Linked DNA regions of Anolis sagrei. The protein of the gene in region 4 binds, or shares a complex with, the protein of the main gene of each other region. Links are inferred from orthologs where the notes say so. Each region holds a gene or a part of one and is shown on either strand. Other genes may lie near its edges. The genes, in order: PIGP, PIGA, PIGH and PIGC.

Region 1 (7,542 bases), on a different chromosome or scaffold from region 4:
ATATAATTTAATACAAAAGTTAGAATAATCCAGACCATAGTATTTCTAATTTCTGTATATGAAATTAGACCTCAACGGCGGAGCAGGCGGAGGATAACATGGCACATGTTACAACGGCTGCGAAGGCGGAAGAAGGCTGCAACAGACTGAGAAGCCATGGTCATTGTGTTAAACTACATCACCAGTGGAACCTCATCTGTGAAGACTGTGTGTTGTTCAGTTGTGCACTGACCTCCACACATTAAAAAACCCACGCACAGGCGTCTTCCAAAGAAAATAAAAACAAACCAACCAAAGTCCCATGGCGATCAGCGAGTGGCGACGGGGGCAGGACTGTGAAATCTGGAAGCCCCTAGTCACAGACTGGCACATGGGCGGTGGGTACGGACTCAGTCGTTCTACCTCAAGGTCCGAGGCAGTTGAGTAGTTCGGCAGCTGTATCCGCGACTGAGCAGCCCTATTGAGGACCCACTCTGCTCACCCCACACGGGGAGGGGGCTAGAAAAGGTGCCCTAAACATAGTCTGCCTCACTTATCCCTGACTGGACTGCCGCGTCCAGTGGGGTCACCATCCTGCGGCCAAAAAAGAAAAATGAACTTCGGTACGTGGAACGTACGGACACTGATGGACAACAGTGACAGTGAACGCCCCGAACGCAGAACTGCCATCATCGCAAGGGAGCTGGGACGCTTCAACATCGACATAGCAGCCCTTCAGGAGACCCGGAGAGCAGGAGAGGGACAGCTGAAGGAAGAAAAAGGAGGCTATACCTTCTTCTGGAAGGGACTGCCTGAAGAAGACCAAAGAATGCACGGAGTTGGCTTCGCTATAAGAAATGATCTGATGAAACATCTGTCCGAAGCACCCACTGGCATCAACGAACGACTCTCCACCCTCCGAATTGATCTTGCCAAAAACCAACGGGCAACCATCATAAGTGCCTATGCACCAACACTAGACGCTGATGAAGACATCAAGGAGAAATTCTACTATCAGCTGGACACTGTCCTATCGGGGATACCTAAGGAGGACAAAATCATTCTCCTGGGGGACTTCAATGCAAGAGTCGGGCGAGACTTCGACCTGTGGCCAGGCACCATAGGAAAAGACGGGGTTGGAAACAGCAACTCGAATGGCATGACAGGTGCTGACGACTGCTGGACCGACCACAGGCTAATCCGATCCACGATGGCTATCAAGATCGCCCCCAAGCGCAGACTCCAAGGAAGAAAGACAAGGCGCAAAATGAACACCCAAGCCCTTCAAGAGCCCTCCAGGCGAGCCCATCTCCAAACTGCACTCAAGGACCATCTACCCACAGTACACCCCGAAAATGTTGAGGAACATTGGAACAAACTGAAGACCTCCATCATCCAAGCCTGCGAAGAAACTATTGGATACCAAGCCAAGAAACATCAAGACTGGTTTGACGAAAATGACATCGAGATCCAACAGCTAATCGACAAGAAAAGGAAAGCCTTCCAAACATGGCAGAGAGACATCAACTGTGCTGCTAAGAAAAAGATCTACGCCAGTGCAAAAGCTGAGGTCCAAAGAAGGACAAGAGAACTCAAGAACATCTGGTGGACAAAGAAGGCTGAAGAAATCCAACACCTGGCAGATACCCATAATGCTCAAGGATTTTTCAAAGCCACAAAGGTCATCTATGGGCCAAGAAACCATGGCATACAGCCTCTACGCTCATCAGACGGAACCAAACTCCTGAAGGACCAAAAGTCAATTGCACTACGTTGGAAAGAACACTACCAAAGCCTCCTAAACCGCAGCTCCAGTGTGGCCGAAGAGGTCCTCTCACAAATCCCGCAACAACAAACCAGGGATGAGCTTGCAGCACTGCCTAGTTTGGAAGAAGTCAGCAATGCCATCAGCCAACAAAAAAACAACAAAGCCAGCGGACCGGATGGGATCCCTGCTGAAATCTTTAAAGAGGGAGGACCTGCGCTGACACACCAACTCCACCAGCTCATAGAAAAAGTGTGGGTGACCGAGAAAATCCCAGCAGACTTCAAGGATGCCACCATCATCACCCTCTTCAAAAAAGGGGAAAGAACAGACTGCGGAAACTATCGAGGTATCTCCCTTCTAACCTCTGCTGGAAAAATCCTCGCAAGAATCCTTGCAAACCGCCTTCTGCCCCTCTCAGAAGACACCCTCCCAGAATCCCAGAACGGCTTCCGCCCCTCCAGAGGAACTGTGGACATGATCTTCACTGCACGACAGCTCCAAGAAAAATGCAGGGAACAAAACCAACCTCTGTACATGGCATTCATCGACCTTGCAAAGGCATTCGACACAGTGAATCGCAGCGCTCTCTGGACCATCCTCCAAAAAATCGGGTGCCCAAGCAAATTTGTGAACATCCTGCGGCTCCTCCACGATGACATGATGGCAACAGTCTTAGATAGCAATGGCTCCCAAAGTGACCCATTTAAGGTGGAATCGGGTGTCAAACAGGGATGTGTTATTGCCCCAACTTTATTCTCCATCTTCATCGCCATGATACTACACCTTGTTGATGGGAAGCTTCCCACCGGAGTGGAAATCATCTATCGGACAGACGGCAAGCTATTTAACCTCAGCAGACTGAAAGCCAAAACCAAGGTCACAACAACATCTGTTATAGAACTCCAGTATGCTGATGACAATGTCGTCTGTGCGCATACAGAAGAAGATCTACAAGCCACTCTCAACACCTTTGCAGAAGCATACACAAAGCTTGGCCTGTCACTGAACATCGAGAAAACCAAAGTGCTGTTCCAGCAGTCACCAGCCGCCTCCTCTCCAATGCCAGAGATACAGCTTAATGGTGTAACATTAGAAAATGTCGACCATTTCCGCTACCTTGGCAGCCACCTCTCCACCAAAGTCAACATCGACGCCGAAATACAACACCGCCTGAGCTCTGCAAGTGCAGCATTTTCCCGTATGAAGCAGAGAGTGTTTGAGGACCGGGACATCCGTAGGGATACTAAGGTGCTTGTCTATAAAGCTATTGTCCTCCCAACCCTGCTCTATGCCTGTGAGACGTGGACTGTCTACAGACGTCACATGCAGCTCCTGGAACGATTCCATCAGCGCTGCCTCCGGAAAATCCTGCAAATCTCCTGGGAAGACAAGCGGACAAACGTCAGCGTGCTGGAGGAAGCAAAGACCACCAGCATTGAAGCAATGGTCCTCCAACATCAACTCCGCTGGACAGGCCACGTTGTCCGGATGCCTGACCACCGTCTCCCAAAGCAGTTGCTCTACTCCGAACTCAAGAACGGAAAACGGAATGTTGGTGGACAGGAAAAGAGATTTAAAGATGGGCTCAAAGCCAACCTTAAAAACTCTGGCATAGACACTGAGAACTGGGAGGCCCTGGCCCTTGAGCGCTCCAGCTGGAGGTCAGCTGTGACCAGCAGTGCTGCAGAATTCGAGGAGGCACGAGTGGAGGGTGAAAGAGAGAAACGTGCCAGGAGGAAGGCGCGTCAAGCCAACCCCGACCGGGACCGCCTTCCACCTGGAAACCAATGCCCTCACTGCGGAAGAAGATGCAGAGCAAGAATAGGGCTCCACAGCCACATGCGGACCCACAGGGAAACCCATGATGGAAGACCATCTTACTCGTCCAACGAGGGATCGCCTAAGTAAGTAATATGATTGTGAAAGCTAGACAACAAAGAAAGCAGACAGGAAAACAACTAATTTGAACTGAGGTTCTGGAGAAAAGTTGTACAGACGAATATTTGCTTCACTAGGAGCAAGGATAACTAAACAGGCTGTAGTAATTTGGTCATATCATGAGACAACATGGCATTGGTAAAGTGGAAAAGTGGATACAAGTGGATTGATTCAATCTAGAAAACCACAGCCCTAAATTTGTAAAATCTGAGCAGAGCAACTGATGACTGGAGACCTTGGAAATCTCTCTCATAGGATCACCATAACTCTTAAGATAACAGTTAAAGACAATGAAACAAAACTAATTTACAGCATGGTTAAGTCTCTAGTCCTTGTAGAAGCCAAGATACGCAGCAAAACAGAAATGTTCTGTCAATTTGTTCTGCAGGAAACAAGTCCGCTTAGGTGAGAAAAACAAGAGTAAGAGATGTTAGCGGTGCTGCACAAAAAAAAGCAGAGGTCACACCTTTGGACATGAGGCAAGATGAGGGAGTAGAGAGTTAAGAGAGCATGTAGCGGTGCATGAGAAACAAGCAAGAGGCATACCACAAAGGAATAAGGCTAAGCAAGTAGAAGTGATGGAAGGGTGAGTGGTTGTAGTGTCACCGTACAAAAAAGGAGGGGTGCGTTAAAATAAAGAGAGGTGGGATTGGAAAGGAAAGTGACAGATGGAGGGAAAGAAGGGTGAGAGGTATAGTAGCAGGATCTGAAGAGTAGAAGAAAGAAATGGTGGTCTATGTACCGGAGAAGGAGAATGTCAAAAGGTCAGTAAAGGGGAGAAGAGAATATTATTAAAAAATCATTCTGGTATACAATATTTTATCTAAAATAGATAAATCAGTCATAATTTGTTCACTTGATTATTCAATAATAATGTTGTCTATACAGCAGGATTTTCAGACATCAACAGTGGAATGTTAGATATAACATTAAAAAAAACAGTTGATAAGGTTTTGTGCAAATAAATCTGGAAAGGTGAGCAAATGAAAAGAAATAACCATTGATTGTGACTGATCATTCTATTTACAACTTAAAAATTGTATTCACACTTGTCCCCTATAGCTATGTTTAAGCGTATATAAATGGCCCTGTAATCCAAGGTATGTGGCTGAGCAGTTATTTACAGTCCTTGTCTTCTGATTGGCTGGATTTGGGGACTGAGGTAATAGCAACCACATCTTTTTAGAGTACTTCATGATAGACAAAAATAAAACAAAACAACTTGAACCCACAAATAACATTCCAACTCATTTTATTAACCAAATATGGCAAAGCGAAGGTAAGCTATCACCAGGAAAAGACACATTGATACTTGCAAATGTTAATTGGAATGTTGGATTTAAAACACTGAAGAACACTGATTCAATCTATTCTTGATTGAATTAGTTGCAGGAGTATTCTCTTGCCAAATGTGACTGTAAATATCAAGGATATTTCAGAAAATGGTATGATAGTGTTGCTTTCTTGTCTCTTCAGAAAATTGTATAGTAAAGAACCTATCTATATTTAACAAAAACAAAAGTGTTGCAATTTTTACAAATGATATCCATAATAATTTTAAGTATTTATGGTGAAGTTTGATATGGAAAACACTAAGAAATTAAAATTTGACTCTGAGACTTTAATACAGCAAATAAGGTGCTAGCAGAGTCGCAAGGTGTCTCTTTAATAGTTGTACAGAATAGGGAATTTTTAGCACTTGGTTAAATTCTCTCTTCTACAAAGCCAAAGTATGAGAGCCTTTATTTTGATTGGCAACTCTGGTAGAATTAATTTTTTTCCAGTTGAACAGGTATATGTTTTGTTTGTGATTCCCAATGATGTTACTACTTAGGCAAGTGTATGTGTTACTGCTTGTACTTCCAGATGTAAAACTGGTTCTGCCTTGGCTGGAAATGGCTAGGTTTCCCCCATCATGCATATTCTGAAACTAGATGTACACGAATACAGCTTCATTTGCAAAAGAGGAATTGCATACATACTGGTCCATGCACCGATCATGAAATCTGATGTGTTTCCCTTACCTTTTGATTTCCCCCTCCTTTCTCTTAATTTGGTTAAGCTTTTTTCGGTTAGGTAGGTCATATTGTTTCATTCCTCATTCCTGAATTTATTTGGGTTGTGCTCCCATGATAAGAATGATTTACAGGATAAGGTGGGGTTTGAATGATTAAAGAAATGAATGAATGAATGAATGAATGAGGAAATAAAATATAGAAAATATTATACGTGGTCACAAAAGCTTTGTACTTATAGACAGATAACCATGTTCACAATATTAATTTGAAATTCAACTCTAAAAGGGAAAAAAGAGTCTGGTGTATTACAGCCCATTAGATTAAACCAGAGGTCTATGAAGTCCAGCAAGAACATATTGTTGAATTAAACAAGAGATCTATGAACCTACAGCATTCTGTTTCTGTCTGTAGCCAACTAAATACTTCCAACAAACGTAGCAAGGTATCATTGAGGAACATCCTTCAGACTTTGCCATTCCAGCTGGTGAATTTGGGAGCAAGAAGCACAATGCTGGGGATACTGGGATCTTGTAGTACAGATGTACAATGTATGGACATTTTAAGGAAATTAGGAACATTTTTTTTCTCCATTTTAAAGAGAAATGTCCAGACAAATTGGGGGAAAATGATGCTATCAAATATCCTAAAGACACAAGATACTGTATAATCTTTGAAGCTCAGCAGGGCATCCATTTTTCGTATTGTATAGGAGATCGCCAATGAATACCAGGTGACATAGGCTGTGCCTCAGAAAAAGAAACTGGCAAACCACCTCTGTGTATTCCCTGCCTAAAGAAAGCCCAATGAAATTAATTGAGTCATTATCAGTTGATAGCCAGCTTGAAGACACATACATATGCACTATTATTTATGACTAAAATTATTTTGTTACTTTAAGAACATAAACTATATTGTATGCATAATGTGCTACAATTATAGTTTTTAAAATATAAATTACAATACTGTACTTATTCTATTAAAATCAAATAATACAGTTACACACTGATTTATCTTTTTATAACATATTTTGTTATAACATAACACAAATGTAGCAAACTATCAACATTAGTAAAACAAAGAAAACTATTTTGTCTCCATAATGTCAAGAAGACATAAAGTGTTCAGTCCCATAAAAGAACTGAAAAAAGACAGGAAGACCAGAATTTGTAATGATCAGACACATCTTTTCTAGCAGATAACTTCTCTTCTTTGCATTTCCTTCACAATGAATTGATATTTTAATGAAGGTTTAATTTACCACAACTCTGGGATCTCTTTCTTAGCTTGTTACTATTAGTTCAGATTCAATACAGATGCTGCATATGTGAAATAAGGTTTACTTCCAGTGTGAATCACTATGCAAATATCACCTAATGTATTACTTCATTGCACAATTAGTTTGTTCAAACTATTTTTAATATTAAATGTTTTTAATTAATTTTAATAATTTCAAAAATAAAAGAAATTCTTTTCCTAAAGCCTAGCTAGAAAAAAGGAGGGACTTCACATAACAGTAAAATATTAGCTTGCCCATCCATATGTTATTTTATGCATAGTCAAGTGCTAACCACCCAAGTGTCTGTATTTCTTTGTTAGGCAATATTGATCTCTCTCTTTATTACACTGGAGTTTGTAAGTCCTTATTTAGCAAATTATTTCTAGAATTTTGTTGCAATGATAATGACAGGGCTGAGAAAGGTGGTATACAAATCCAGCAAATAAATAAAGTGTATTAACTAGGACCAAACTTTTTCCATCACAGGAACTGAAACAGAAGCTTGAGCTGAAATTTGAGTTGGATTCAGAGCAGAAGTGCAATCTGCAAGGCTTCATGCTCCA
Region 2 (7,358 bases), on a different chromosome or scaffold from region 4:
TTTTATTATCCCATCTAGATGCATCTGGAGTGAAGTCAGTAGGGTCAACAGCATTAGGGATAACGGAGACTATCTCAGGATTCAGTGCCGCTCTCAACACAGTGTTCTCCTTGCTAGTGTACGAAACACATATTATGTGATTTGTATCACACAGCGATACAGTCAAGAGTTTATTTGTGAGCACTGAACTGACATCAGCAAATCCAAAAAGAGAATGGTCTGTGAAAACCGTCCGTAGCTGCATTGTCTTGGCATGGAAGAGTGCATCGTGAGCCATAGCGGAAAAGGAACTATGGGCATGGATGATGGTGACTCTTTCCCGGACAAATATATACCTGAGCAAAGGCAAGCTGTGGAATAGAGTTGTTGCTGTAGACTGGTTGTACATAACTCTTAATGGCAAATAGTAGACTTTCAATCCATTTGTGAGGTATCGAATGCCTTTCCGGTCTTCGTAAGCATGGGTGACTATGATCACTTTGTGTCCTCTTTCAATCAGGCACTGTGACAGTTGGTAGATGTGGCTTTCTACTCCTCCCATATTCGGATAAAAAAAGTCCGACACCATGCATATACTATGGCTTTGACACGGGTGTGTTGAAGGCTTATGAGAGTTCACAGTGGGAGAGGGTGTGGAGGAGAGAAACTGTCTGTGATTTCCTCTCCTTCTACTGGCCATATTAGATAAGCAATCCACCTACGTGACAGCCATTCAGTATGAAGAACAGGCCCCATTCATTACCTATGACAGCAAACAGAGCAAAACGTATTACATCATAAAACTCAAAACCCCTGCAGGTATCTTTAGGTAAAATTACAACATTTAGCTGTACAAGCCTATGCATGCTTATTCAGAAGTATACAACACCCTGTTCAAGAGTTGATTTTACCTCTAGTGAGTGGGTTAGATTCAGTCATACATACAGAAGGCCCATTACAATTATTGGGGGTTATCTGAAGTATATGTAACGAAAATGGTTTCAATACAAATTGACAATACAAAAACAATTTTTAGTCTTGCTTTAGAGTTCCAACTGGGTTCTAATTATTACTATACTGCCTATTACAGGGAATACCAGCTGATCCTTAATCCATCTAAAACACAGACATGTGCTTTTTACCTTAAGAACAGACAAGCATCTCGAGCTCTGAGGATTACCTGGGAAGGAATCCCACTGGAGCATTGCAGCACACCCAAATACCTGGGAGTCACCCTGGACTGTGCTCTGACCTACAAGAAGCACTGCCTGAATATCAAGCAAAAAGTGGGTGCTAGAAACAATATAATAAAAAAGCTGACTGGCACAACCTGGGGATCACAACCAGACACAGTGAAGACATCTGCCCTTGCGCTGTGCTACTCTGCTGCTGAGTATGCATGCCCAGTGTGGAACACATCTCACCACGCTAAAACGGTGGGTGTGGCTCTTAATGAAACATGCCGCATTATTACGAGGTGTCAGTGTCCTACACCACTGGAGAAATTACACTGTTTAGCTGGTATTGCACCACCTGACATCCACCAGGAAGTAGCGGCACTCCAAGTAGAGGCACTCCAAGTGGCCAGCTACTGGTCAGCGAGTGTCTCTGTAGATCTTAGAAAACTATTTCTTGATTTAAGTCGTTGACGTGCTGGCTGATACACAAAGGGGTGGGCTGGAGATGTCACTGCCTTGGTCCTTTCACTATTAGTTGCTACTTCCCGGTGGATGTCAGGTGGTGCAATACCGGCTAAGCAGTGTCCTTTCTTCAGTGGTGTAGGGCGCAGACACCCCATGACAATGCGGCATGTCTCATTAAGAGCCACATCCACTGTTTTGGCGTGGTGAGATGTGTTCCACGCTGGGCATGCATACTCAGCAGCAGAGTAGCATAGCGCAAGAGCAGATGTCTTCACTGTGTCCGGTTATGATCCCCAGGTTGTGCCATTCAGCTTTCGTATGATATTGTTTCTAGCGTTTTCGAACTGCTAGGTTGGCAGAAGCTGGGGCTGACAGTGTAAGCTTATGCCGCTCCCCAAATTCGAACCTGCAACCTTTCGGTCGACAAGCTCAGGGCTATAACCCACTGCGCCACCGGGGGCTCCTCATTTATATAGATAACTGTATTCTCAATTTGCTCCTGAGGGTTGTTGTAGGTTTTTCCGGGCTATATGGCCATGTTCTGGAGGCAATTTTTCTCCTGACGTTTCGCCTGCATCTATGGCAAGCATCCTCAGTACCTCTGAGGATGCTTGCCATAGATGCAGGCGAAACGTCAGGAGAAAAATTGCCTCCAGAACATGGCCCGGAAAAACCTACAACAACCCAAAATAAATTGAATTGATATTAAAAAAGGATAATACATTCTCTCCCACAGATAATTATGTGACATGTTCATTCCTCCCTAACTTGAGCCCCTTCCACACAACTGAATAAAATCCCACATTATCTGCTTTGAACTGGGATATATGGCAGTGTGGACTCAGATAACCCAGTTCAAAGCAGATATTGTGGGATTTTCTGCCTCGATATTCTGGGTTATATGGCTGTGTGGAAGGGCTCTGGCTGTCAAACAAAAAACACCACAGGGCAATGCTAACACAAAATCAAGCTCAAACAGCACAATATGAGGGATCTCTTTGCTTACAGGAAAGAAGTACTTTATATAAAGATGATAAAGAATTGGGTCATCTTAGGGCCCATCTACACTGATCATTTAATGCAGTTCAAAGACAAGAAACTGTGCATTGAGCTGCTTTTTTCCAGTAGAAAATCATACTGAGAAAGCACACATCCTGTTCTGATTCTTACTGGAGTGTTTCACTAGTAAACCCAAAAGGAAACTCAGGGACTTCTCCCTCTGCTACGCCCCACGCGGTCCCTCACTCACCTGCCGGCGGAGTCTGTCCCACTTCCGGGTTCACTCCGGGCGGGAGTCGTCTTTCGTCACCTTAGCCCCGCCCACTCGGCCCCGCGAAGATTTCCGGGTGTATAATAACCCAACCAGGCAGAGCACGTGACCGGAGAAGAGCCAATCCGATTGGGCTAAATTCAGGCAGGGTCTTCGAAGGGAACAATTTTAACAAATATAATAAACTTATTAGTATCTCAATGGGAAGTGTGGGCCTGCTTTTGGCTGATGAGATAGGACTGTTGTTGTTGTGTGCTTTCAAGTCATGAGGAGCGGCTTAAAGAGCTGGGCATGTTTAGCCAGAAGAAGAGACGGCTGAGAGGAGACATGATAGCCATGTATAAATACTGTTGAGAAGCACTGCTCTAATCTGTTAAAATCGTTTTGAATTCTGAATGTAAGATGAATGTATTGCCAGCTCTGTGAGTCTGATGGGGAGGCAGAACTCCAAAGGGGGCGATTCTGTCCCTTTAAGAGACGATTCTCTCCCTTAAAGGAACAGTAGCCCATACTTTTTACCTCTCAGTGTGATGAGGCGGGGAAACTGCTGCCAGGTTTCCAGAGCGCCTGCGCGGGGAGAGCAGGGGGCGTGGCTTCTTGGGTGGGGCCGGGCTCTTCCCCTCTCAAAGTGATTTATTTATTTATTTGTCGTGTCAGGGCAACCAGTCAATTATATTACATTTCTAACAGTACAAAGCAAACAAACATACAAAATTTGTGAGTTTGGTAGTTGATTAAATGTCCTTTGACCAGTATCTGGCCACTTGGAGTGCCTCTGGTGTTGCTGAAAGAAGGTCCTCCATTGTGCATGTGGCAGGACTCAGGTTGCATTGCAGTAGGTGGTCTGGGGTTTGCTCCTCTCCACATTCGCATGTCGAGGATTCCACTTTGTAGCCCCATTTCTGAAGGTTGGCTCTGCATCTCGTGGTGCCAGAGCGCAGTCTGTTCAGCGCCTTCCAAGTCGCCCAGTCCTCTGTGTGCCCAGGGGGAAGTCTCTCATTTGGTTTCAGCCATTGGTTGAGGTTCTGGGATAGAGCCTGCCACTATTGGACTCTTGCTTGCTGAGGTGTTCCAGCAAGTGTCTCTGTAGATGTTAGAAAACTATTTTTTGATTTAAGTCGTTGACATGCTGGCTGATACCCAAACAGGGGGTGAGCTGGAGATGTCTCTGCCTTGGTCCTTTCATTATTGGCTGCTACTTCCTGTCAGGCTAAACAGTGTAATTTCTCCAGCGGTGTAGGGCGCAGGCACCCCGTGATAATGCGGCGTGTCCACTGTTTTAGCGTGGTGAGATGTGTTCCACACTGGGCATGCGTACTCAGCAGAGTAGCACAGCGCAAGGGCAGATGTCTTCACTGTATCTGCTCGTGATCCCCAGGTTGTGCCAGTCAGCTTTCGTATGATATTTTTTCTAGCACCCACTTTTTGCTTGATGTTCAGGCAGTGCTTTTTGTAGGTAAGAGTACGGTCCAGAGTGACTCCCAGGTATTTGTGTGCGCTGCAATGCTCCAGTGGGATTCCTTCCCAGGTGATCTTCAGAGCTCGGGATGCTTCTCTGTTCTTGAGATGAAAGGCACATTGTGTTTTAGATGGGTTGGGGATCTCAAAGTGATGAGGAGGGGCAAGTCCTGACAGTTTTCCACAACGCATGCGAGGGGAGAGCAGGGGGCGTGGCTTCTTTGGAGGGGTGGGGCAGTGGCCCATGCTCTTCCCCTCTCAGTGTGATAAGACATGCTGCATTATCACAGGGTGTCTGCACCCCACACCGCTGGAGAAATTACACTGCTTAGGTGGTATTGCACCACCTGACATCCGCCGGGAAGTAGCAGCCTATAGTGAAAAGACCAAGGCAGAAACATCTCCAGCTCATCTCTTGTTTGGGTATCAGCCAGCACGTCAACGACTTAAATCAAGACATAGTTTTCTTAGATCTACAGAGACACTTGCTGGAACACCTCAGCAAGCGAGAGTTCAAAAGTGTCAGGCCCAAACCCGGCACCTCAATCCATGCGTGATACCAGATGAGAGACTCCCCCCAGGGCACTCAGAAGACTGGGCAACTTGGAAGGCGCTGAACAGACTGCGCTCTGGCACCACGAGATGCAGAGCCAATCTTAAGAAATGGGGCTACAAAGTGGAATCCACGGCATGCGAGTGCGGAGAAGAACAAACCACTGACCACCTGCTGCAATGCACCCTGAGCCCTGCCAAAAGCACAATGGAGGACCTTCTTGCGGCAACACCAGAGGCACTCCAAGTGGCCAGATACTAGTCAAAGGACATTTAACCAACTACCAAGTTTGCAAAATCTGTGTTTTTGGTTTTTTTTTTTTAATCTGTGTGTTTGTTTTGCTCTGTTAGAAATGTAATACAATGGTATGGTTGCTGATGACACGATAAATAAATATATGTGATAAGGCGGAGCAACTCCTGCCAGGTTTCCACAGCGCCTGCGCGTGTTTTCTTGAGAGGGGCCGGGCAGTGGCCCATGCTCTTCCCCTCTCAAAGTGATGAGGAGGAGCAAGTCCTGTCAGTTTTCCACAACGCATGCGCGGGGAGAGCAGGGGGCGTGGCTTCTTCAGAGGGGCCGAGCAGTGGCCCATGCTCTTCCCCTCTCGAAGTGATGAGGGGCATGTCCTTTCAGTTTTCCACAACGCATGCGCAAGGAGAGCAGGGGGCGTGGTTTCTTAGGAGTAGCCGGGCAGTGGCCCATGCTCTTCCCCTCTCAAAGTGATGAGGAGGGGCAAGTCCTGTTAGTTTTCCACAACGCATGCGCGGGGAGAGCAGGGGGCGTGGCTTCTTAAGAGGGGCCGAGCAGTGGCCTATGCTCTTCCCGTCTCAAAGTGATGAGGAGGGGCAAGTCCTGTCAGTTTTCCATAACGCATGCGCGGGGAGAGCAGGGGGCAGTGGCCCATGCTTTTCCCCTCTGAGTGTGATGAGGAGAGGCAAGTCCTGTCAGTTTTCCACAACGCATGCGCAGGGAGAGCAGGGGGCGTGGCTTCTTAAGAGAGGCCGAGCAGTGACCCATGCTCTTCCCCTCTCAAAGTGATGAGGAGCAACTCCTGTCAGTTTTGCACAACGCATGCGCGGAGAGAGCAGGGGGCGTGGCTTCTTCAGAGGGGCCGAGCAGTGGCCTATGCTCTTTTCCTCTCAAAGTGATGAGGAGGGGCAAGTCCTGTCAGTTTTCCATAACGCATGCGCGGGGAGAGCAGGGGGCAGTGGCCATGCTTTTCCCCTCTGAGTGTGATGAGGAGAGGCAAGTCCTGTCAGTTTTCCACAACGCATGCGCAGGGAGAGCAGGGGGCGTGGCTTCTTAAGAGAGGCCGAGCAGTGACCCATGCTCTTCCCCTCTCAAAGTGATGAGGAGGAGCAACTCCTGTCAGTTTTGCACAACGCATGCGCGGAGAGAGCAGGGGGCGTGGCTTCTTCAGAGGGGCCGAGCAGTGGCCTATGCTCTTTTCCTCTCAAAGTGATGAGGAGAGGCAAGTCCTGTCAGTTTTCCACAACGCATGCGCGGGGAGAGCAGGGGGCGTGGCTTCTTGGAAGAGGCGGGACAGGGAAAGGAGAAGTGGTCCTTCTGGCATCCGAGAAGGGCCGTGCCGCCTGCGGGAAGCCGGGGCAGTGGCGATGGGGCCTGCTTCCGCCCGCCGGCCGGCCTCCTGCGCCCGAGGGACCCGCTCCCGCGGCGCCGGCCTGATGCTCCTTCCTTCCATGCTGATGTTCGGCGTGATCGTGGCCTCCAGCGGCCTGCTCCTGATGATCGAGAAGGGCATCCTGTCTGCGGTGAAGCCCCTTCCGCTGCCTCCCTCGCGGGGTGAAGTGTCCTGGCGGAGGGCCCCGGCGGCAGAGGGCGAGGAGGAGGGCGAGGCGGTGCTGCGGGACACCCGCAACCGGACCCTGCGCGCCGTCTGCGGGCAGAAGAGCATGCCCGGCAGCGCCTGGGACCTTCCCGCGGGGCAGAGGAAGACCCTCCTCAAGCACATCCTGGTCAGCGACAAGCACCGCTTCCTCTACTGCTACGTGCCCAAGGTGGCCTGCTCCAACTGGAAGCGCATCCTGAAGGTCTTGGGCGGCGCCCTGGAGAGCGTGGAGGTCAAGCTCAAGATGGACCACCGGCGGGACCTGGTCTTCCTGGGCGACCTCAAGCCCGACGAGATCCGCTACCGCCTCAAGCACTACTTCAAGTTCCTCTTCGTGCGGGACCCCATGGAGCGCCTGCTCTCCGCCTACAGGAACAAATTCGGAGAGATCAAGGAATACCAGCTCAAGTACGGCGTGGAGATCGTCAAAAGGTACCGGAAAAACCCCGGGAAGACCGCCGGGGACGACGTCACCTTTTCCGAATTCCTCCGCTTCCTCTTGGACGAGGAGCCGGAGAGGATGAACGAGCACTGGATGCCCATTTACAACTTGTGCCAGCCCTGCGCGGTGAGGTACGACTTTATCGGATCCTACGAAAGACTGAA
Region 3 (7,166 bases), on a different chromosome or scaffold from region 4:
CACCGTGATTACCATTTAATGGCCTAGCAGTTTCAAGGTCTGGCTTCTTAGTGCCTGGGGGAAAACCTCAATTGGCCACCTTGACTACCATTTAATGACCTAACAGTTTCGAGGCCTGGCTTCTTACTGCCGAGGCAAATGTGAATATTTCAATTGGCCGTCATAATTACCATGTAATGGCCTAACAGTTTCGAGGTCTGGCTTCTTACTGCCTGGGGGGAAACCTCAATTGGCCACCTTGGTTACCATTTAATGGCCAAACAGTTTCAAGGTCTAGCTTCTTACTGCCGAGGCAAGTGTGAATATTGCAGTTGGCCACCTTGATTACCATTTAATGGCCTAGCAGTTTCAAGGTCTGGCTTCTTACTGCCTGGGGTAAAACCTTGTTGGGAGGTGATTAGCTGGCCCTGATTGTTTCTTGTCTGGAAAGCCTCAATCCCTTTCCTTTTCCCGCTCAGCCTGCCCAGCCCTTTCTCCTCCTCTTCTCCCCTGCTTGGCTTACCTGGCCCCGGGAGAAAGGGGCTCCAATCAGGGCCACCGAGTGCGCCGGTCTCTTCTGGACCCTCAACGTGGATCCCGCCCGCTGCCTGAGGAGCCGGCCGAAGCTGCTGCGTAGCGACATAGCGGCAAAACGAGAGGGAAAAAAAGGAAGACAAGATCACGCGCCGCCTAATCAAAGAGTACCGGCACCGCTACCCACGCCAGTCTTTTATATCCACTGCGGCGCCCCGCCCACCGCGAGGCCACGCCCCCTTCCTCGGATTCCTCCCCCGCCCCCTTGGTCGTGGGCCCAGGCCTTTAATCTCCCGCGAGCCAATCAGCGCCGAGCTGGCCGGAGGTGTGCGCCCGAGCCCCCTTCGAAGCCGGCGCGCGCCAGGAAGGGAACGTGCCCGGAGAGTGTTGGCTGGCTTCCCTCTTTGGCTTTGTTTTCCTTTTCTCTCTCTCTCTCTATCCTCCGGTTCTCAGCGTTAGCCATCCATCCATCCCGCCGGATTAAAGTTTAAGATTAAAATGGGCAGCTTCTGCTTTTCCACCCGAGTTGCATCTATCTACACCAGGTATGGGCAAGCTTGGGCGCTCCAGGTGCTTTGGACTTCAACTCCCACAATTCCTCACAGCCTCAGGCCCTTTCCTTTCCCCCCTCAGCCGCTTAAGCGGCTGAGGGGGGAAACCTCCTAAGGCTGTGAGGAATTGTGGGAGTTGAAGTCCAAAGCACCTGGAGCGCCCAAGCTTGCCCATACCTGATCTACATTGCAGAATACAGTTGAGAAACCATTTGCCTCACAGCTTTTCCGCGGCGGAAAGTAAAGAGGAAAGGAACCGAGCGGCGCGGACCATGTTTCAGGGGAGGAAAGACCACCCCCTCCCCTTCGCGCGGCTTGGGGGCCCACAGGCGGACCGAAGGGAGGACCACATGCCCCCGCCTCGCAACATTCGCGGCGGGTTTGAGTCACAGAGAAAGCACTCCCAGAATTCCAGGCTCATCCCTGGGAAGGAAGCCCCACTGACTCCATTGCAGGCGGGGAGAGAGGGCAATTACTGTTGGACTACAACTCCCATCACTCTCTGTGCTGGCCAGGAAGGTTAGGAAAGATATTCCAGCAACAGTGTCCACAAGCCTTGAGGCCAGAGGTGCATTTAGAGCAGGCATGGGCAAACTTAGGTGTTTTGGACTTCAACTCACACAATTCCTAACAGCCTCAGGCTTTAGAGACTGAGGAGGAAAAGGAGGGGGGCTGAGGCTGTTAGGAACTGTGGGAGATGAAGACCAAAACACCTGGAGGGCCCAAATTTGCTCATGCATGCTCTATAGTATGCTTAAGCAGCCGATGGGGGAAAGGAAAGGGCCTGAGGGACCAAGTTTGCCTGTTACATAGATTTAACATATGGTAGGTGAGTGAGACTTTCTAGTCCAGTCCCAGATAAACCCCACACCGAATGGAAAATTCCTTTTCAAGTCAGGAAAAACACTGCCATGGCTGTAATTAGGGAGATGGCGCTGTGCTTTAAGCACAGGACTTTGAGTCTGGAGGCCATGTTTTGGCCATAAAAACACATTGTAATACAGGTATCCAAAACAAAGAAACTACAAACCTCACAACCTCTGTGGATGCTTGCCATAGATGCAGCAAAACATCAGGAGAGAATGCTTCTAGAACATGGCCATATAGTCCGAAAAACCTACAACAACCCAAATAAATTTTGTCATGTTGGTTGCTGATTGGTCTAGGTCAATGCCAGCTAGGATCTCCACATTGATATGTGCACAGTCCATTGTCACTGTTGGTAGGTTTGCAGGGGTGGCATGAAATTTAATAAAATGCTGTAGCTTGATTTGAAGTCTAGTGGCTGTTTCTAGGTCAGTTCATGGAGGGATACAGGAGGAAAGAAATGCGATCTGGGTTGGAGTTGTCCCAACCACTTCAGTGCTGTCCCAACCACTTCAAGTAAATCTGTTGTTTAATGTTAGGGATTCCTCATCTTCAGAAGAGGAAGGGGGGCAGGGAAATGCTCAGGAATTGGACGGGGAAGAGGAATCAGACGATGAGGGTTTGGGTTTGCAAGTGCCCACATTTCTGGAGAGGTGAAAGGAAACCGAGCACAGACAGTATTCAGCTATAATAGCTGCTAGAAATGCTGAGGTAATTCGAAGCCACCCCAGCAACTCCTGCATGGGGAATTCAGGGCTATAAATCAGAAGCAGGAGCAGTTAGCTTTAGCTGGTAATGACTTTGATGCTGATGTTTTCGCTCCAATTGTACCTCCTTTGTGTCTGCTTCTAAGGATTTAGTGATCATTGGCTGTGTTCTGATGTAACTACTGTTTATTTTGGACCTTATTAGAGACTTTAGTTTTGTGTCTGCATTGAAACTTTCTTGCTTTCTTTTACATTTTTCAACCACATTTGCTGTTATTTTTGTGTTTGCTGAAGTAAAGCATTTTTCTTTTACTTTCAACATTGTATTAAGGCTGTTCTTGAGGGCAAATCAGGACATTTAAGTATTTAATAAGATACATGGAAAGAAATAAATGTTGGCTCCCCCACCGCCACCACTAACTTGGTATATAAAAATCACTGTTCTCCCAACCAACAGCTGCGTAGGGATTTTATTTTATTTTTTATTTATACTTCACTTGTATACCGCTCTTCTCAGCCAACGGTGACTCAGAGCGGTTAACAGCCAGTATCAACAATACAGTACAAAATCATTAGTCATTTAAAACAGTAATATCAATTAGTTAACATCAGGACATCAATACAACAATACAGGAAAACAACAATCCATCACGTCTCATCAATAGAATCAGCATCCGGATGATTCTATTAGGATGATCCTAATCACATTAGCAATAGATTTAGGAAAGCTGTAGAAATAATGCATAATGTTTGATACCACTTTAACTGCCACACATGGCTCAATGCAAAGGAGTCTTGGGAGTTGTAGTTTTACAAGGCCTTCAGCCTTCTCTGCCAAAAAGCTCTGAGGCCTCACCAAACTATAGGTCCCAGAATCCTGTAGCACTGAGCCATGGCAGTTAAAGTGGTGCCAAACTGAATTAATTCTGCAACGTAGATGCGCCTTTAGTCAACAACCGAGAAGGTAACTCTCATTCGGTTATGCAAAGGGTCATGGGGAAGCTTGGTGCAGTGGTTTTAGTGTTAGACAGAACATGGGGGTTCTGTGTGAGAGGTTTGGCCCAATTCTATCGTTAGTGGGGTTCAAAATGCTCTGTGATGGTAGGTGAACTATAAATCCCAGCAACTACAACTCCCAAATGACAAAATCAAATTTTTTTGAGTGAAGGACATACAGTGGGTTGTTAGGTGTCTTGTGTCCAAATCTGGTGTCAATTCGTCCTATGGTTTTTGAGTTCTGTTAACCCCACAAATGAACATTACATTTTTATTTATATAGATTGAGACTCTGGGGACTCCCAGCTCGACACTTCCAGCGTCAGAAAATCTCGTGGTAGATTCGTTTTAGAGTCGCCATTAATCGAAAACACAAACGAGGGAGTGTGTGTTTTGCAGTCGCCGGACAGGAGAAATGGGAAAGAGGCTGGAGGGGGGGGAGGCTTTCCAGCACAAGAGACAGCTCCTTCCGGAGGAGGGCGGGGCTTCCCGAACGTCGCGCAACCGGAAGCTGGAGCAGAAGCCGCTCTAGGCGCCTCGGAGGCCCGCGCTCGTCGCTCCCTCCATCGCCGCTGGGAAATGGCGGAGGAAGAGCGCAGCTTCCTGACTGTCTCCGGGCAGCGCATCACGTTGCAGCGCCGCCAGCACAGCGCCGCCTGCCGGGAGTTCCAGGTGCGCTGCCCGCGGCTCCAGCTGCGCTCCCTCAGCGCCGCCACGTGCTCCGTGTGGCTCGCGGCCTACGGGCTCTTCGTCCTCACCGAGGTAACGCCCCCCCTCCCAATACACAACTGTTATCCGAGAAGCCACGCCCACTCCCTGCTCTCCCTTAGGCCTAGGGGCGGGGCGAACCTGAGGGCGTCTCCCAATTGGTTAAGGACCCCCCTCAGTAAGTAGACAGGCAGCCCTTCTCTACTTCAATCCCCCCCCCCCCCGGTTTCATATGGTTTAGCCCACTCCTCTTGCTCTGCCTGCTGTATCAGAATCTTCCATTGAATTCAAGGGGTGGGGGTATTTATTCTTGAGTACCTTCACATTGTTTGTGACTTATGGCGACCCTGTTGTAGGGGCAATGGACTGTGTTATCTGAGGCTGAGTGTGTGTGACTCATCCAGTGAGTTTCTATGGTCAGATGAGGAAACAAAACCCTGGTCTTCAGAGTCATAACCCAGTGCTCAAACCACTCTGCCATACCTTCCTCAAGGTGCTTGTTTATAAAGCTATACTCTTCCCAACCCTGCTATACACCTGTGAAACGTGGACTATCTACAGAAGTCACATGCAACTCCTAGAATGATTCCATCAGCAATGCCTCAGAAAAATCTTGCAAATCTCTTGGGAAGACAAGTGGACAAATGTCAACATGCTGGAAGAAGCAAAGACCATCAGCATTGAAGCAATGGTCCTCCGCCATCAACTTAGCTGAACCGGCCACGTTGTCCGGATGCCCGACCACCTTCTCCCAAAGCAGTTGCTCTACTCCGAACTCAAGAACAGAAAACGGAATGTTGGTGGGCAGGAAAAGAGATTTAAAGATGGGCTCAAAGCCAACCTTAAAAACTCCAGCATAGACACTGAGAACTGGGAAGCCCTGGCCCTTAAGCGCTCCAGCTGGAGGTCACTGTGACCAGCAGTGCTGCAGAATTTGAAGAGGCACGAATGGAGGGCGAAAGAGAGAAATGTGCCAAGAGGAAGGCGTGTCAAGCCAACCCCAACCGGGACCGCCTTCCACCTGGAAACCAATGCCCTCACTGCAGGTGAACATGCAGATCAAGAATAGGGCTCCACAGTCACCTACTGACCCACCGCCAGTACACTGATCTTGGAAGACAATCCAAGAAGATCACCTAAGAAGATCAGACCTTCCTCCTACTTTCCATCAAATTCAATGAGCCTGACTTTCAAAGACCTGTGCAAGTCTGAAAATAATAGGATGTATTGGGGTGCATCTACACACTTGAATTAATGTGGGTTAACACTACTTTAAGTGCCATGGCTTACTGCTATGGAGTCGTGGGAGCTGCAGTTTTACAAGGACTTTGGGCTTCTTTGCCAAAGTTTGTGTGTTCCCCAAACTACAACTTCCTTGATTCCATAGCCTTGAACCCTGGCTTTATTGTTCATTTGTTCAGTCGTTTCCTACTCTTCGTAACTTCATGGACCAGTCCACGCCAGAGCTCCCTGTCGGCCGTCACCACCCCCAGCTCCTTCAGAGTCAAGCCAGTCACGTCAAGGATACCACCCATCCATCTTGGTCAGCCCCTCTTCCTTTTTCCTTCCATTTTCCCCAGCATCATTGTCTTCTTTAAGCTTTCCTGTCTCCTCATGATGTGGCCAAAGTTGAACCCTGGCAGTTTATATTAATTTTACTATATATAGATGCATTATTGGACATCTTTCATTCACAGGATTACTATATGAGGAAGCTGATGTGATGACAGTTAACAATAGCAATGAATATAAGAGTAAAATAAAACAGTGTGGGCCAAATGTACGACATAAAGTGATAAAACACTAGATGAGATAAGAACGAAAAAGGTATATATGAAAGGGAGGAACTCGTAGGGGATGGAACAGTGGAGACAGGCCTTCCGAAAGATGGGGGTAAGTGCAATATGAGGACAGCATTATGGAATAAAACAACCGGAAGTATATGGTAATAATATCTTCTATTCCATTCCCACAGCTGTATAAATACGCTTTATACTTGAAGCCTTGATATCAGTCTGTACTGCATCTGAAGAAGTTCATGCTAAAATAAAAACTAGTCTTAAAGGTGCCACGTTCTCCTCCCCCCTTCTTTCTTTCTTTATAATTTGAATCCATGGTTACAAGCTTGCACAGCCTGCCTTTCATTTTGAAGATTGTCATATAATGTGTTGCCAGGCGTACGAGTCAAATGGATAGAAACACAACTGGCTTCTGTTTGGTCAATTGCTAAATGTAGTTGTAAGTCACCTGCTTGTTTTCTCTTTCAGAACAGTGTAGTCCTCTCTGCTGCCATATTTGTCACACTGATCGGCCTGCTTGTCTACTTGCACTTCGTGAAGATCGACCAGGAGTCCCTGCTGATCATTGGCTCCCTTGGGATACAGATGACATCATCTTATGCGTCCGGCAAAGAGAGTACGGCGTTTATAGAAATGAGCCAGATAAAAGATGTGGTCATCAACGAAGCCATCTATATGGTAAGCATTATCTATTTATTAATTACCGTATATACTTGAGCATAAGCCAAGTTTTCAGACATTTTTAGGGCTGAACACCCCCCCCCCCCGGCTTATACTTGAGTGAGGGTCCTGGTTGGCTTATATTCGGGTTGGCTTAAACTCGATTATATAGGTAATCAGAGTTGGACAGTCTTATCTTAAATTACAGTTTTAATATTCAAAAATATTTAACCCTAACTGATGCCTCAATTAATGTAATTTTATTGGTATCTATTTTTATTTTTATGTTTTAAATTTAGCAGTAACTGCTGCATTTCCCACCCTCGTCTTATACTTGAGTCAATATGTTTTCCCAGTTTTTTGTG
Region 4 (7,689 bases):
TCTGTCCTAAATCAACAGAGGGTGGGCTATTACTTTACTTTTTCCCAGCTCCTTCACATGTTCAGTAACAAATACCTGAATAATCCTGTGGAGGTCTGTGCTGAGCTTTATGACTAGAATATGATTGGGATTGCTTGAAAGCTTGATGGTGTTTCTATTTCTCTTCTACTACAGGGGATTTCCCATGGAAAAGGACAGTGCAAAGGCAAGCTTTGTTGCCTACATGGATGAAATTGCTGCTTGTATAGGGGTTAAGCCTAACTTGCTGTTGCTCTTCCTATTGGACCCCCAACTAGCCTTTAAAATTCTTTGTGGACCTTGCACTTCTTATCAATTCCGTCTGACTGGACCTGGGAAATGGGAACAAGCCAGAAGCACAATCCTGACAGAGTGGGACCGAGTTCTGAAGCCCTTGAAGACGACAGTCAACAATAGTTCCAAAGACTCCACAACTTTTTTCTGGTTTATGTTCCTTGGCTTTTCATTCCTTGGGGCTTCTTTGGTCATTTTAAAAACTCATCACATTCATGACTACCTAGGATGAGAGAGGTGCACTTTTCATATTACATGGATCTCTTGGTTTCATTGTACTGATTAGGTATATATCCAATACAATAAAACAAAAAGGAAATCAGACATTAAAAATATTTTAAACAAGAGGCATACAATCCTGCATAGCAGTCAAGCGTTCAGACTGAACAAAAATGTGACTTTCTTTCAAGTAAGTTGTGAAACAAGACTGGGAAACATACCATGATTTAAATTTTGCCCAATTATTACTAACCCCTTCAAAAAACACAAAATATACAACAGCAATTATATCCTTAAATAAAAGAGAATAAAATGTATCAAATATAGTCTTAAAATTGTTTTGTATTTTTGAAAAAATTGAGCACAGCAAACTTATAAAGTACAACATGTCCCTCTATTTCACATGGAAATTCTGTAAAGCAGTGGTGTCCACACTTTTTAAACTGAGGGCCAGTTCACAGTCTGATGGGGGGTGGGCAGACTATCTATATATATATAAATGTTCTGTGCATAATGAGTACCTTAAAAACAATGAACGAAATCACACCAAATTTGGCAACAAAATGTCACACAACACAAGGAGTGACCATCATTCAAAAAAATATGATTTTGTCGTTTGGGAGTTGTAGTTGCTGGGATTTATAGTTCACCTACAATCAAAGAGCATTCTGAACTCCATCAACAATGGAATTGAACCAAACTTGGCACACCGAACTCCCATGACCAACAGAAAATACTGGAAGGGTTTGGTGGGCATTGAACTTGAGTTTGGGAGTTGTAGTTCACCTACATCCAGAGAGCACTGTTGACTCACACAATGATGAATCTGGATTGAACTTGGCACAGATATTCAATATGCCCAAATATGAACACAGATGGAGTTTGGGGGGAATAGACCATGACATTTAGGAGTTGTAGTTGCTGGGATTTATAGTTCACCTACAATCAAAGAGCATTCTGAACCTCACGAACGAGAGAATTGGGGCAAACATCCCACACTGAACCCCCATGACCAACAGAAAATACTTCAGGCCACCCAGTCAAACTCCCTTTACCAGGGGAAGAAAAAGTAATCAAAGCCCTCCTGACAAAGAGCCATCCAGCCATAGATATATATGATTCACACACAGAGAGATATAGTATCAGATTTGAAAGGGACCCCTAAAGAAGGACAATTATATGTTGCCTATTCCAAAGTAGGCAAACCAGACCATCTCCACATCAGCACTGACAAAGAAACAATATATACTGCTTACCCACACGCACAAATACATTACATATATTAGAAATCAACACCTTCTCATTATTTTCCAAATCACCAGACTGGGCCACAGCAACGCGTGGCAGGGGACGGCTAGTCTATATTTAAAAAATGTAATGTTTGTTTGTGGGATTAACATAACTCAAAAACCACTGGACGAATTGACACCAAATTTGGACACAATACACCTATCAGCCCAACAAGTGATTATGACTCATAAAAACACTGAAAAACACAGGGAAGAGACTTAAAAAGCCCAAAAATTAAAAAAAAAACCCATTACAACGCATGCACAAAACCACACACACACAAACACACACACACACACACACAAATATATACACACACATATATGAGTATATGTGCTGGTACAACTGTACCAGGAGCTCCAATTTTGTTTGCTTTGTACTGAATGTCTGTTGCAGTCCTAAGTTTCAGAGACTCTGCAGATAGGTGGCTTCTTTTGGCTGCAATCATAGGGCAAGCCACCTGTCAATTATAGTTAGGTTCCCTGGTCCCGCCCCCTTTTTGGGTTTTTGGAGGGAATAGGAGCCTTTTTGGGTCAGTACACACAGAGAAGCTTTCCATACAGGACATAAAACCAAGAACTCCTGTAGAAAGCTTCGTCTTCTACAGCTTGGCCAAGGAGAAAAGGCCCCATAGCTTGGCTGAGGATTTTGCAGCCTTACAGCTCTTTTGCTGAAGGACTTCAGCCAGCCATCACTGAAACCTGAACTCCTTCTTTTCCCCTGGAAGTCTACAAAGCTCTGCTTGGTAAGGGTCGCTCGCGGAAGCCAGACGCAGTTGGTACCGGGTGTAGGGGCTCCACACCAACAGAGGCAAAGACAGACTGCCCAGATTAGAAGTTAAGGATTTCCCCATTAGTTAGTATACAGTTATGAAGATAGTGCCTGTTCCCAGTGAACAAGATTGCAAGAGCCAATAGACTGTTAAGAAAGCTTTAAAATATTATTAAACTTTATTTGTACCCCGCTAACATCTCCCGAAGGACTCGATGCGGCTTACAAAGGCCAAGGCCTCAACACACAATACAACAATGCAAAACCTAAGCAAATTAAAAACAATTAAAGCAAACTAAACAACAGCAATGAACAATCCACTAAGACACAATAAAACTGGGCCGGGCCAGAGTAAGGGTACAAGGGTTAAAAGTGCTGATGTGACAGGTGGAATATGAGGCTTATGGGCAAGTGCAGTGTGCGGTGTGCAACGGTTTTAACTTTAATAAAGTGCTTATGGGACTTGGAGGTTTCCTATTCGGGGAAGGCACATCGGAACAGCCAGGTCTTCAAGTTCTTTCTGAAGACTGCCAATGTAGGGGCCTGTCTAAGATCTTTCGGGAGGGTGTTCCAGAGTCGGGGGGCCACCACGGAAAAGGCCCTGTTTCGTGTCCCTACCAAACACGCTTGCGACGCAGGTGGAATCATGAGCAGGGCCTCTCCAGATGAACGAAGAGAGCGTGTGGGTTCGTAGACGGAGATGCGATCACGCAGGTAGGCTGGTCCCAAACCGTTCAGGGCTTTGTAGGTAAGCACCTGCACCTTAAACTGGGCTCGGTAGATAAATGGCAGCCAGTGGAGCTCCTTGAACAGCCTGTTTGTTTTCATTAATAAAGATTGCTCACCGGAGCGACATACAGGGAGCATACCACCCCCCTGCTGTGCCAGCTCCACTGGCTGCTGATTCAGTTCCGAGCACAATTCAAGGTGCTGGTTTTGACCTACAAAACCCTATACGGTTCTGGTCCAGTGTATCTGTCCGAACGTATCTCCCTCTACGTCCCACCCCGGAGTCTGAGATCATCTGGGGAGGCCCTGCTCTCGACCCCACCACTGTCACAAGTGAGGCTGGTGGGGACGAAAAGCAGGGCCTTCTCAGTGGTGGCCCCTCACCTGTGGAACTCACTCCCGGGGGAAATTAGGGCATCATCATCCCTCCTCGCCTTCAGGAGGAGGGTGAAGACTTGGTTATGGGACCAGGCCTTTGGGCACTCTGGCAATTAAATCAGACAATCAGGCGAGTAAGACCAGCAGGATTGTTGAAGTGGAATGTAAAACTAGATCTATGAGTTAACGAACGCTGACCATGTAAGAGGAGAAATTGGGTTTGTATTTGGTTTTATTGATTTTATTGATTTTATGGTTATAGTGCATAAATTGTTGTCAACTGTGAATTGATGTAATTTTGTGTATGGTTGTTTTATGATGCAGGCATCGAATTGTGCCTTTGCTTTTGTAAGCCGCCCTGAGTCCCCTTCGGGGTGAGAAGGGCGGGGTAAAAGAACCCCAAATAAATAAACTTTGTTGAACTTTTAAGCAATCTAAAGACTTTGTTTTAAGGAAATCCAAGGACCTTTAATCTGAGGCAGCCCCGGCGTCCCATTGGGCACACAGAATTTATGTCCTGTCTACAGTCTGATGCACAGGCCCAGCGTGCGACAGCACAGTATATGCACACACAAAACACATATATAAAGACTGGGCCACAGCAATGTGTGCCAGGAGACGGCTAGTATAATATATAAACATTTCTTGGGGCTCCATGAGAAACCTTTCCTTTAAAAGGGGATGAAGAAGTTTGAGAAACTCTGAACTAGAGCATGGATCCACTTTAAATGCTATGGCCGCCTCCTTCCTGCAGAATTCTGGGGTTTGTAGTTTAGTGAGGCCCAGCACCTGCCTGGCTGAGCGGCTTAAAGGCCCCTCCCTAAACTACAAGCCCCAGAATTCAGCGGGACGGAGGCAGACACAGGATTTAAAGAGACAGATGCTCTGTGGATGAGGTCCAATGTACGTGAAGGGAAAAGGGACCCAACCTGAGGCGTCTCTTACTTGGAACGGCAGTGGGCGCAAGTCACCAACGAGGAAGAAGGGGAGGAAAAGGGACGGCCCAGATCCCCGCCTTCCTCTCTTCTGTGGGCCGCCTCTGTCAGTTGAGAGGAAGGTAAGGCCAGGGCCCTTCCAGCCCTTCCAGCAGTGGGATTATTAACAGGAAGCTCTGGAGGGGGAAAGGGGATGTGTCGCCCCCTCAGCCCTTGACTGACGTAGAGACGGGGCTCGTGCCGGGAGGACGTAGGGCGCGATGCGTGAGAGGAGGAGGTGCGCGCGCAGAAGGCTCGCGCGCGCACTAGGCCCTCTGAGACAGTGCCTCACAAAAGCGCGGGAATGAGGGGAGGGGGCTTCTTAATGTGAAGAGGAAGCGGGCCTGCAGCCTGATCGCCCTTAGCGAGGGCCTCATGATCAGAGTTATATTTTGAATGAATGTATTTTGACACATTTGCTTTTTGCTGTGCAATTATGGGAGTTGTAGGAGTACTAAATAATAATAATAATAATAATAATAATAATAATAATAATAACGCTATGAAATACGACTCGCTGGAACACCTCAGCAAGCGAGAGTCCAAAAGTGGCAGGCTCAAACCCAGAACCTCAACCAATGGCTAATACCAAATGAGAGACTTCCCCCTGGGCACACAGAGGACTGGGCGACTTGGAAGGCGCTGAACAGACTGCGCTCTGGCAACACAAGATGCAGAGCCAACCTTCAGAAATGGGGCTACAAAGTGGAATCCTCGATATGCGTATGTGGAGAGGAGCAAACCACTAACTACCTGCTGCAATGCAACCTGAGCCCAGCCACATGCACAATGGAGGACCTTCTTGCAGCAACACCGGAAGCACTCCAAGTGGCCAGATTCTGGTCAAAGGACATTTAATCAACTACCAAACTCACAAATGTTGTACTTTGTCTGTTTGTTTGTTTGCTTTGTTCTGTTAGAAATGTAATATAATTAACTGGTTGCCCTGACATGACAAATAAATAAATAAATGTTACTGGGTTACAATCAAGTGCCAGTTAATACCCCCCAAACAAAAGATGCCTCCAGGCTAACAACAGCCAGGCTGCCTCTCACTGATTGACTTTGCAGCTGCTCAGTGCTAATTAACCTTGTTATTTATTTATTTATTTCGTATCAAAAGCATTGCATAAATTAGTATAGAACCAATAAAAATAGAAGGAGCGCAGACAGCTAAATATCTTTTGACCAAAAACGGGCAACAGGAATGGCATTGTCTGTAGCCTCCAACAATTCTTCCTCTGTAAATGAGGCAGGGCATTGTGGGCAAGCACACAGGTGCGGAGTTGTCTGTTCTGCTCCACAGTCACACAAGGTGTGGGATTCTTTTAGGTAGTGCCATTTTGCCATGTTGTCTTTTGATCTGCCCACTCCACTTCTGAGTCTGTTTAGGGGCTTCCAAGTTGCCCATTCTTGGAGGAAAACAATGCCTCCACAGCTCAGTGAGGCTGTCCATAAGAATACTATGGTCAATGCTATCAAAAGCCAGTAGAATCCACAGGAACACATTATGGCTAGGTCTCTCTGTAGGTCATCTACAAAAGTGGCCAAACCAGGCCTGAAACAAGATGAAATGGATCCAGCAGCTAATCATGGTGCTCAGGAAGGAAAATGTAAGAACAAGATAGAAAATGTGAAAACAATTGTGTTCTCTTGCTTGCACACTTCCTTGCTGTTCTTTGAAGAGAGTTGTAAGCGCCAAGGGAAAAAGCCTTCATGGGCTTCCGTGGAAAAGTTCCCTTATCTCATATTCTTTTACATCTTCTGCTTTTTTGCAGGGTAGCAAAAAGGGAATTAATTCCTGCTCACAATTGGATTGCCTTGCCTCATCAGTAGACTCTTTTTTTTTTTCAGCAGTGACAAGGCCTTCAGTTCTGGAGGTAAGTAATAATAATAATAATAATAAATAAATAAATAAATTAATTAATTAATAAACATTATTTATACCCTGCCACCATCTCCCCAAGGGGACTCGGAGTGGCTTACATGAGGCCAAGCCCAACAATACAGCAATGCAAATAAACAACATACAACGACAATAAAATATAAAAAATAAAAATATAAAATGCAAAAAAACCTAATATAAATAAGCACATCAAGCAATGTAAAATCACAATAATTTAAACACAGAAAATAAAAAAGGAAATAAGTACACCTCCTTTGATTTGACCAATCAATCTGGTATCACCCAGGGTACTGACTTTTCCATTTTCTGAACCATGTTTTCCATTAGCTAATTGAATTTTTCATTTTTATTGGTAGTGATGATATGTGAATAAGGGGACTGCCTACTTGTATCTGGATTTTGGAAAACTTGGTTTAATTATGTTGTCTTGCTTTTAGATTTCAGCTAAAAATCTGGAAAATCATCAAGAAATATCGATACAGGTTTCATCTTCTGTGACATAATACGGTATTCCAGTGCAAGTGGATCTTGAAGGCAGTAATTTAGCCAGATGCATGCTGCGACTCCAGATGGCACAGAACAGAAGACAATGCTGGCAGAAAGTGTTATACAAGAGGCAGCCATTTCCTGATAACTATGTGGACCGAAGCTTTCTAGAGAAGCTACGCAAAAATGTCCATGCACGTAAATACCAGTACTGGGCAGTGGTATTTGAATCTGGACTGGTGATCCAGCAGCTGTGCAGTGTGTGTGTCTTTGTTGTCATCTGGTGGTACATGGATGTGGGACTGCTAGCTCCCCAGTGGTTGTTTGGAGCTGGATTGATCTCTTCACTAATCGGCTATGTCCTCTTTGATGCCGTTGAATCAGGAATAGGAAAAAGTCAGAGTGACCAGTCACAGTGGGCTGATCTGAAGAATGCTGTGGTATTTGTGGCTTTCACCTATGGCTTCTCTCCAGTACTGAAGACTTTAACAGAGTCCATCAGCACAGATACAATTTACGCTATGTCTGCCCTTATGCTGCTAGGACACTTGATCTTTTATGACTATGGAGCCAATGCTGCGATTGTGTCCAGTACACTATCTCTCAATATGGCCATCTTTGCCT

What was found.
Region 1: PIGC (region 4) and PIGP share a complex: the UniProt entries of both Homo sapiens proteins name them as parts of the glycosylphosphatidylinositol-N-acetylglucosaminyltransferase (GPI-GnT) complex. The link is inferred for Anolis sagrei from reciprocal best matches to the Homo sapiens genes PIGC and PIGP.
Region 2: PIGC (region 4) and PIGA share a complex: the UniProt entries of both Homo sapiens proteins name them as parts of the glycosylphosphatidylinositol-N-acetylglucosaminyltransferase (GPI-GnT) complex. The link is inferred for Anolis sagrei from reciprocal best matches to the Homo sapiens genes PIGC and PIGA.
Region 3: PIGC (region 4) and PIGH share a complex: the UniProt entries of both Homo sapiens proteins name them as parts of the glycosylphosphatidylinositol-N-acetylglucosaminyltransferase (GPI-GnT) complex. The link is inferred for Anolis sagrei from reciprocal best matches to the Homo sapiens genes PIGC and PIGH.

The regions. Positions count from the first base shown.
Region 1 is NC_090023.1:71,911,279-71,918,820, forward strand, and holds the start of PIGP (phosphatidylinositol N-acetylglucosaminyltransferase subunit P), read right to left. Parts: upstream 3,002-7,542; 5' UTR 2,864-3,001; intron 1-2,863. UniProt on the Homo sapiens protein: Part of the glycosylphosphatidylinositol-N-acetylglucosaminyltransferase (GPI-GnT) complex that catalyzes the transfer of N-acetylglucosamine from UDP-N-acetylglucosamine to phosphatidylinositol and participates in the first step of GPI biosynthesis.
Region 2 is NC_090026.1:63,179,776-63,187,133, forward strand, and holds the start of PIGA (phosphatidylinositol N-acetylglucosaminyltransferase subunit A), read right to left. Parts: upstream 3,014-7,358; 5' UTR 2,872-3,013; intron 743-2,871; 5' UTR 680-742; coding exon 1-679. Other genes in the region: CHST14 (carbohydrate sulfotransferase 14), read left to right, coding at 6,343-7,358. UniProt on the Homo sapiens protein: Catalytic subunit of the glycosylphosphatidylinositol-N-acetylglucosaminyltransferase (GPI-GnT) complex that catalyzes the transfer of N-acetylglucosamine from UDP-N-acetylglucosamine to phosphatidylinositol and participates in the first step of GPI biosynthesis.
Region 3 is NC_090021.1:281,994,734-282,001,899, forward strand, and holds the start of PIGH (phosphatidylinositol N-acetylglucosaminyltransferase subunit H), read left to right. Parts: upstream 1-4,161; 5' UTR 4,162-4,213; coding exon 4,214-4,396; intron 4,397-6,609; coding exon 6,610-6,819; intron 6,820-7,166. Other genes in the region: ARG2 (arginase-2, mitochondrial), read right to left, coding at 503-622. UniProt on the Homo sapiens protein: Part of the glycosylphosphatidylinositol-N-acetylglucosaminyltransferase (GPI-GnT) complex that catalyzes the transfer of N-acetylglucosamine from UDP-N-acetylglucosamine to phosphatidylinositol and participates in the first step of GPI biosynthesis.
Region 4 is NC_090024.1:131,145,950-131,153,638, forward strand, and holds the start of PIGC (phosphatidylinositol N-acetylglucosaminyltransferase subunit C), read left to right. Parts: upstream 1-4,670; 5' UTR 4,671-4,756; intron 4,757-5,911; exon of another isoform or gene 5,912-6,286; intron 6,287-6,451; 5' UTR 6,452-6,553; intron 6,554-7,016; 5' UTR 7,017-7,133; coding exon 7,134-7,689. Other genes in the region: dimethylaniline monooxygenase [N-oxide-forming] 2-like, read left to right, coding at 175-544. UniProt on the Homo sapiens protein: Part of the glycosylphosphatidylinositol-N-acetylglucosaminyltransferase (GPI-GnT) complex that catalyzes the transfer of N-acetylglucosamine from UDP-N-acetylglucosamine to phosphatidylinositol and participates in the first step of GPI biosynthesis.